2 linked regions of the Oryzias latipes genome follow. Each later gene encodes a partner of the first gene's protein in a complex. Links are inferred from orthologs where the notes say so. Each region holds a gene or a part of one and is shown on either strand. Other genes may lie near its edges.

Evidence for each region.
Region 2: crnkl1 (region 1) and cwc27 share a complex: the UniProt entries of both Homo sapiens proteins name them as parts of the minor spliceosome. The link is inferred for Oryzias latipes from reciprocal best matches to the Homo sapiens genes CRNKL1 and CWC27.

Annotation. Positions count from the first base shown.
Region 1 is NC_019882.2:16,311,504-16,314,450, forward strand, and holds part of crnkl1 (crooked neck-like protein 1), read left to right. Parts: coding exon 1-31; intron 32-191; coding exon 192-283; intron 284-470; coding exon 471-629; intron 630-706; coding exon 707-873; intron 874-1,220; coding exon 1,221-1,399; intron 1,400-1,473; coding exon 1,474-1,644; intron 1,645-2,163; coding exon 2,164-2,355; intron 2,356-2,530; coding exon 2,531-2,590; intron 2,591-2,682; coding exon 2,683-2,763; intron 2,764-2,947. UniProt on the Homo sapiens protein: Involved in pre-mRNA splicing process. As a component of the minor spliceosome, involved in the splicing of U12-type introns in pre-mRNAs.
Region 2 is NC_019870.2:3,045,450-3,049,810, forward strand, and holds the start of cwc27 (peptidyl-prolyl cis-trans isomerase CWC27 homolog), read right to left. Parts: upstream 2,913-4,361; 5' UTR 2,558-2,912; coding exon 2,516-2,557; intron 2,371-2,515; coding exon 2,274-2,370; intron 2,155-2,273; coding exon 2,042-2,154; intron 1,966-2,041; coding exon 1,822-1,965; intron 1,732-1,821; coding exon 1,633-1,731; intron 1,543-1,632; coding exon 1,439-1,542; intron 1,218-1,438; coding exon 1,148-1,217; intron 1-1,147. Other genes in the region: ppwd1 (peptidylprolyl isomerase domain and WD repeat-containing protein 1), read left to right, coding at 3,167-3,299, 3,413-3,515, 3,784-3,887, 3,973-4,093, 4,163-4,361. UniProt on the Homo sapiens protein: As part of the spliceosome, plays a role in pre-mRNA splicing. Probable inactive PPIase with no peptidyl-prolyl cis-trans isomerase activity. As a component of the minor spliceosome, involved in the splicing of U12-type introns in pre-mRNAs.

The sequences.
Region 1 (2,947 bases):
GCTAAATGATTACAAACTGAGGAAGAGGAAGGTGGGTTTTTATGGTTTTAACTTTATCAGTACTGTAATATCTTATATTAGAACATGATTAATATGTTTTGCTTGACTTTGACTTAAAGAACAAACCTTTTTAAAAGAAAAACTATGAAACGTTTAAATTATTTATCCAACCTAAAATTCTACTTTTGTAGGCGTTTGAGGACAACATCAGAAAGAACCGCACAATCATCAGTAACTGGATTAAGTACGCACAATGGGAAGAAAGCCAGAAAGAGGTCCAAAGGTATTTTACTCTATCTTTATAACTTGTGTTTTTTCAATCTAGGCCCCCGTTTGCCCAACAAGAAAGCTATATGCAGGAGCTACTTTAATTGGAGATTTTTTTAGTTTGTCTTAGGTTTTTGAATTCTAAACAACCTTGCATGCCTTTGCTGTCCACTTTCTCTCACCACTGCCTTACCTGCTGTCAGGGCGCGCTCCATTTACGAACGAGCGCTGGATGTCGATCACCGCAACATCACGCTGTGGCTAAAGTATGCAGAGATGGAGATGAAAAACCGCCAGGTGAATCACGCCCGCAACATCTGGGACAGAGCCATCACCATCCTTCCTCGAGTCAACCAGTTTTGGTATGATTTTTTAATTCCCTTCACTTCTTTTGTCCAGTTTGTGCATTATTTTAAAGAAGTATTCTTCTGTTGAACAGGTACAAGTACACATACATGGAGGAGATGTTGGGTAACGTTGCCGGCTGCAGGCAGGCGTTTGAGCGCTGGATGGAGTGGGAGCCTGATGAACAGGCCTGGCACTCTTACATCAATTTTGAACTTCGCTACAAGGAGGTGGACAAAGCCCGCACCATTTATGAGCGATATATCCTTTTACATCATTTATTTGACCATTTTGACCTCACAGAAACTGCTTTTCTTCCTGCAACCCAAATTTATTTAGAGGAACGTTAGTAAACTGAGCAGTAGAAAAAAATTAAAGTAATAACTTTAGCCAACATATTGAACTTCTGCTGACATCTGTTTGTGTTACTAGGTAATTTATAGTTTTTTTTCTTCTATAACCACACATTTTCCAGACAAGATGAGGCCTTTTCAGACATTGACTTACAATCAGAATACCAAGGCCATTTAATTACTAGCAACCTTTTTAGGATGAACAGAAACATGGGTAATCTTGCTGGAAACATAACATTTCTTGACTCCTCGCACTTGTGATGGTTCACCCTGAAGTGAAGAACTGGATCAAGTATGCCCGCTTTGAAGAGAAACATGGCTACATTGCTCATAGCAGGAAGGTGTACGAAAGAGCAGCGGAGTTCTATGGAGAGGATCACGTCAACGAAAACCTCTTTGTGGCTTTTGCCAAATTTGAGGAGATGCAGAAGGAGGTACAAGAAAAATTTATTGTATTTCCATGTGCAATCATGGCTTCTAATAACACAGAGTTTCTTTTTCTATGCAGTTCGAGCGGGTTCGAGTCATTTATAAGTATGCGTTGGACAAGATTCCGAAAAATCAAGCGCAGGAACTCTTCAAAAACTACACCATGTTTGAGAAGAAGTTTGGAGACCGCAGGGGGATTGAGGATGTGATCATCAACAAACGAAGATTTCAGTATGAAGAGGAGGTCAAGGTAAAAATGTCAAATGGAAGCTGGGTAAAACCCAACAACAAGCAGAACATGGAGTTTGACAAGACAACAAATTTAGGCTCATTTGGATGACATTTAAAAAAAAAAACCTAAATGTGAAGATTTCTGTCAGATAAATTAATGATGCAACATGAGTTGTGGCTCAAAAAAGTGTTAGTTTGTGAAGAGCTCAACTTCTAATTAACTGAATGTTAATTATTAAGCATTTTGTAGATCGTTGTTGTATCTTTTTTGTGTTTTAATTACTGCATGAAACAAAGAAATCTGAATCTTAGTTCATCTAAGAATCTATTAATTCTCCCAGATCAGATTTACATGATAAATTCTGAAAATGACCCATCTTAATCTGTGGTAGAAATAAAACTAAAACCTGATTTTGATCTAAAAGATGCAGTCGGGTGTTAGCTTGCTGTACAGCATTGCATACCAACTACTGATCTTAGAGAGGAAAGGGTTCTTGCCTTCAAACACAAGGATTCTCATGATTCGTATCTTCTTCAGGCAAACCCACTCAACTATGATGCCTGGTTTGATTACCTGCGCCTGGTGGAGAGCGATGGAGACCCTGACACGGTCAGAGATGTTTATGAGAGAGCCATCGCCAACATCCCTCCCATTCAAGAGAAAAGGCACTGGAGGCGATACATCTACCTCTGGATCAACTATGCTCTGTACGAAGAACTAGAAGTCAAGGTTGGTTCTTCATTCACCTCATGTCTACTTTCCAAAGCACATGGGAAAGGAACTGCATGCTCACCTCTGCTCACTTGGAGAATCTTAAAACAAATGAAAGTGAAAAATACTGACTCCTCTGCATCAGAGCAATCAAAAACAAGAAGTTTTACCCTTTTTTTAAATCACCTGACAGGATCCAGAGAGAACTAGGCAGGTTTACCAGGCCTGTCTGGATCTTATGCCTCACAAAAAGGTATTCTTTAGAATACTTGTCATTTCTTAAAAAAAAGGTCGGTTTGCTGACATAACCTTACAGTGACGCCTGCTTTGTTTTTTTTTTTGTAGTTCACGTTTGCCAAGATCTGGCTTCTCTTCGCCCAGTTTGAGATCAGACAGAAGAATCTGCAGGCAGCTAGAAAGATTATGGTAAGATGGTGAAAACTCGGCCGTATAAAAATGTATGCACGCGTGTATTTAGAGATATTCCTAAACCAGTGTTGGTTGATGATAAGGAACTTTTTGTATATTTCTTTGTAAGTTATATGATTTTTATTTTAGCATGTCTTTGCACTACAGCTGTGAAATTTATTCAAAACAAGGGACTCCCTAA
Region 2 (4,361 bases), on another chromosome or scaffold:
GCCGCTTACTGACCGCACGCGAATGCTGCATGCATGAGATGTCATACGTGTCTGTAGGATGTCCAAACTAACAACCCTCTGATTGTCTACTTTCCTCATTTCTGACCGTAAGGCGGCTTCGCAAGGAGCGCGCACGTTTCACGTGCGCTGAACCTACAGCCTCCTTACGCAGTCTGCAGTAGTGATGGGTAAATGAGGCCTCGTGAAGCGTTGACACATCAGCCAAACTGTATGGATTCTGTGTTGATGATACTGTTTCACTCAATACTGACTCCTGCTGGACCAGAAACATCATTGCAGGCAACACAGTTAAGAAAGTTCACAGATTTACTGATTAAATCAACTAAACAGAATATTTGTTACCGTAGTTCCTCATTCCCATGTCTCGCGCTCTATAAGATCCAGCATTGGGGAGATGCTTTTAAGTTTGACAGTTCTGCTGAACAACCTCCAAAACATAAAATGATTCATGTCAAATAAGAGACAGAATGCAGTGGAATTGTATTCTGCTGGACCAACTGAGAGGAATGGGGGGAGAAAAAGCCTAAATCCTTGATAAAATTGTTAAATGATTCCAAAAACCTAATTAAAAACACCACATTCAACACCTTTCGGAAAGATTCAGTAAAATAAAACGTCATACACAGGTGGGCGGGGAAAACAGGGTGGGCGAGAATCGTTCAACAGCTGGAAGTTTGGGTGCATGAAAAGCTGTTTTTTTCCTACTCTGTTAAAATCGCAGCGGAACTGATTTAACACCCAAGTGACTGAAATGTAACAGAAAAGATCAGGTTAATTTTTCAAAATAAAAGATAGCTTAGACTCATAATAAAACTAACTGAACCCTGCCAAGTTGACACGAAACCCGCCAAAGCAAATTTTCCAAAATTACCCAACTGGGTGGAAAACCGAAGAATCTGGCAACGATACGCTTCCTTGTTTGGCTTCTCTGTGACACGCAGACACAGTGGCTGTATGGGTCACGTGACTTTTCCTCTAAACAACACCCATACATTTGAAGTGTTAACTACAACCTGTCGCATGCCCGTATGCATCAACAAGTACACTCACTTGATAATTCGTGTGTTCTTAGTTGGGACTAAGGCTTTAGGCAGCACAAAGTTTGCTGTGGAGAGCAGAAACATACCTGACTGACTTGATTCGCCATCTCCTCGTCTTCCTCAGCTTCCTCACCAAACGATAACAAACTGAAGTTCCTGGAAAAGTTTTTTTGGAGCATTAATCCAAATCACAACAACAAACAAAAACCACTACAATCACAGAAAACAACAAGATTGTAAGAGGAATTCAAATACGAGGCCACATGGACTTAAAACCAAGAAAACTACATTTTGCAGGTGAGAAAAACATTCACAATAAAAGTCTGATAGTTGTATTTTTTAGCATAAACAGGGAAGAAGAAAGAGTGAATGCTCACTTCGTGGCTTTTGACTGGGATTTCTTTGCCTCTTCCTTGTCTTTATCCTTTTTGCTTTTCTTCGTTTCTCGAGGAACAATGTCATCAAAGGGATTGTGCAGAACCTGGAAGACGCACACAACATTATCACAAGGGAAAAAAAACGACTTTTTAGATACAGGAGCTGCTCTGATTGGTGTGAATAAACGAATCACCTCAGCACATCTGATCTTATGAGGCCTCAGAGGTCGTTCATCTTTGTCGCATTCAACCTGAGCCAATCTGAGCAAGTTATAGACCGTATCTCCAGTGACCTGCAGTAAAACAAAAGGAAAATAAGGCTTTTTTTTAACATAAGCAGCTCTTAAAACATCCACCATACAATGGACTGAAGTTATGCTCACCTTTCCAAATATGGTGTGTTTATTGTTGAGTTCATCCGCACGCGCCAACGTGAAAAAAAACTGACTCCCATTATCGTGTGGCCCAGCGTTCGCCATAGCAACCAGGCCTCTCCGAATGAAGCGCAGTCTTGAGTGAAACTCGTCCTGAAAGGTGAAGTTTAGGGTTTTCGCTTAGGCTTAAACACACGTTTTTCTGAAGCGAGCAGCGAAACTGTCGGACCTTGAACGGACGGCCGTACACGGACTCTCCCCCGGTTCCTGTTCCTGTAGGATCCCCACCCTGAATGATGAAGTCCTGGACCACTCTGTGGAAAATGGTGCCATCGTAGTAACCTATAGGGTTAGAAATAGAGACCCAAACAGCACAGATTGGATCACTTTTCCCAAGAAAGAAAACAAAACAAAAAGGCAGATTTAACTCTCGATTTTTGGTTCTTTTTGACAGATCCTACCTTCCATGCAGAGCTGCACAAAGTTCCTGGAGGCTTTGGGAGCCTCTTTGGACCACAGCTCAATGTCAATTTCTCCTGCTGATGTTTTCAACAGAACCTGGAAGAACATTTTCCAACATACAATCTTCAGTTAACAATAAATACATCTAATTATTAGCTAATGGAGACAATTGTTGTACATTTCAGAGGTAAAACCACATGAAAGTTGGGCTTTTCTGGAGCGAAAGAAACTGAACGCTCACCTTTCCATTCGTCGGAGGTTCCTGAATGTAAATGTTGCTCATTTTGCCCCCCGACTTCTAACTAATTTATACGTTTAAAGTACTTTTAGTTAACTGAAAACAAAGCGAATGGTAAAGAATGATTCTTACAACTGTTTTTCTTACATGAGATTAATTTGATCGTTTCACTTCCAAAGCCATCTTAGCTGCATCTGTTCGCGGGTTGTTTACTTCCGAGTGCACAGGGACGTCAGAAGGTAGACATATAATCTTATTGAAACGTTTTGCACTTAATATATAATTGAATTTGATAAAAGGGTATTTCTTTAGAAAACGCCGCATTTTAAAGCATGCAAATAAAAATAAACTATAACAACAAAACAAACGAATTACGTTTTTCCAACTATTTCCCCTCTTCAATTGCATTGGTTTGATCCATGTGTTCTTTGATAACTGCCCCGCGGAAACATGATCGCGCTCAGTGGAAACTCTATTTAAGTTTGAAAAAAAATCTAATATTAATGTAAAAGGTGTTTGCATATGCATTTAATTTAATCTTATTTTTTACTTACTATATATGTATGCATTTACTTCGATTGGAAGGGTTAACGAATTTAGAAGTCAAGCGGAAGTGCCGTAATCACGACAGGACAAACCAGAAGAGAAGCAACGATGGCGGAATCTGAAAACAGTGTGGATTTGAAGCGAAAGGCTGAAGATAACCGGGACGGAGATGAAGAACAACAAGATTCCGAATGGGTCGGACCCATGCCGAATGAAGCCACGACGACTAAAAAACGGAAAGGTTGGTTTCTGGTGGCGGCTTTACCCTGGTCTGTGACAAACATCTGTTAGAAGTCGTGCTAATCCGCGCTAACCCCCGCTCTTTTCTGCCTGTTTTTGTGTGTTTGGTGTCAGTACTCGAATACGAGCGTGTTTACCTGGACAACCTGCCCTCAGCTGCCATGTATGAACGGAGCTACATGCACAGAGACATTATTACGCATATAGTTTGTTCCAAGTAAGTCTAACTAAGTGGTGGAAATGTAACTTCATTCAGCTGATCATGCAACTATGGAAATGAAAGACAAGTCGATCAGAACTGTTATGCAGCTTCAGGTGTCAAAGAAGCAAAAGAGTGTGCAGTTTTTGTGTTTCTATGTACCTTATAGTAAAGTTAATAGTAAAAATACTTAGAATTTGTGCTCTCTGGCAAAATGTTCTTTAGAGGAATTGTGCCGTTTATCTGACACTCCTCTCTTTTTCACGCTGTCCCTTTTCTGTTCCAGAACAGACTTTGTCCTAACTGCCAGCCAAGACGGCCACGTCAAGTTTTGGAAAAAGAAGGAGGATGAGGGTATAGAGTTTGTGAAACACTTCAGAAGCCACTTGGGTAAGACCTTCGTTTTCGCCCTCGTTTCGATCTTGCAGGCGCACGAATGTGGCTTTCTTCTCAACGTGAAGCTGTGTTTGTGCAGGTGTGATCGAGAGCATCGCCGTCAGTGCCGAAGGGGCTCTCTTCTGCTCTGTTGGGGACGATCGGGCCATGAAAGTCTTCGATGTGGTCAACTTTGACATGATCAACATGCTGAAGCTGGGGTGAGTTCCAATGACGGTGCAGTGGAGCCTGAATGATGCGGCAGACACTGATGCAGGGTTTGTTTGCAGCTTTCACCCCGGACAGAGTGAGTGGATCTACAACCCCGGGGACGCCATCTGCACCGTGGCGTGTTCTGAAAAATCCACAGGGAAGATCTTTGTGTACGATGGGCGGGGAAGCAGCGAGCCCCTTCACGTCTTTGACAAACTGCACTCCTCCCCGCTGACTCAAATCCGCTTGAATCCTAAATTCCGAGTTATCGTGTCT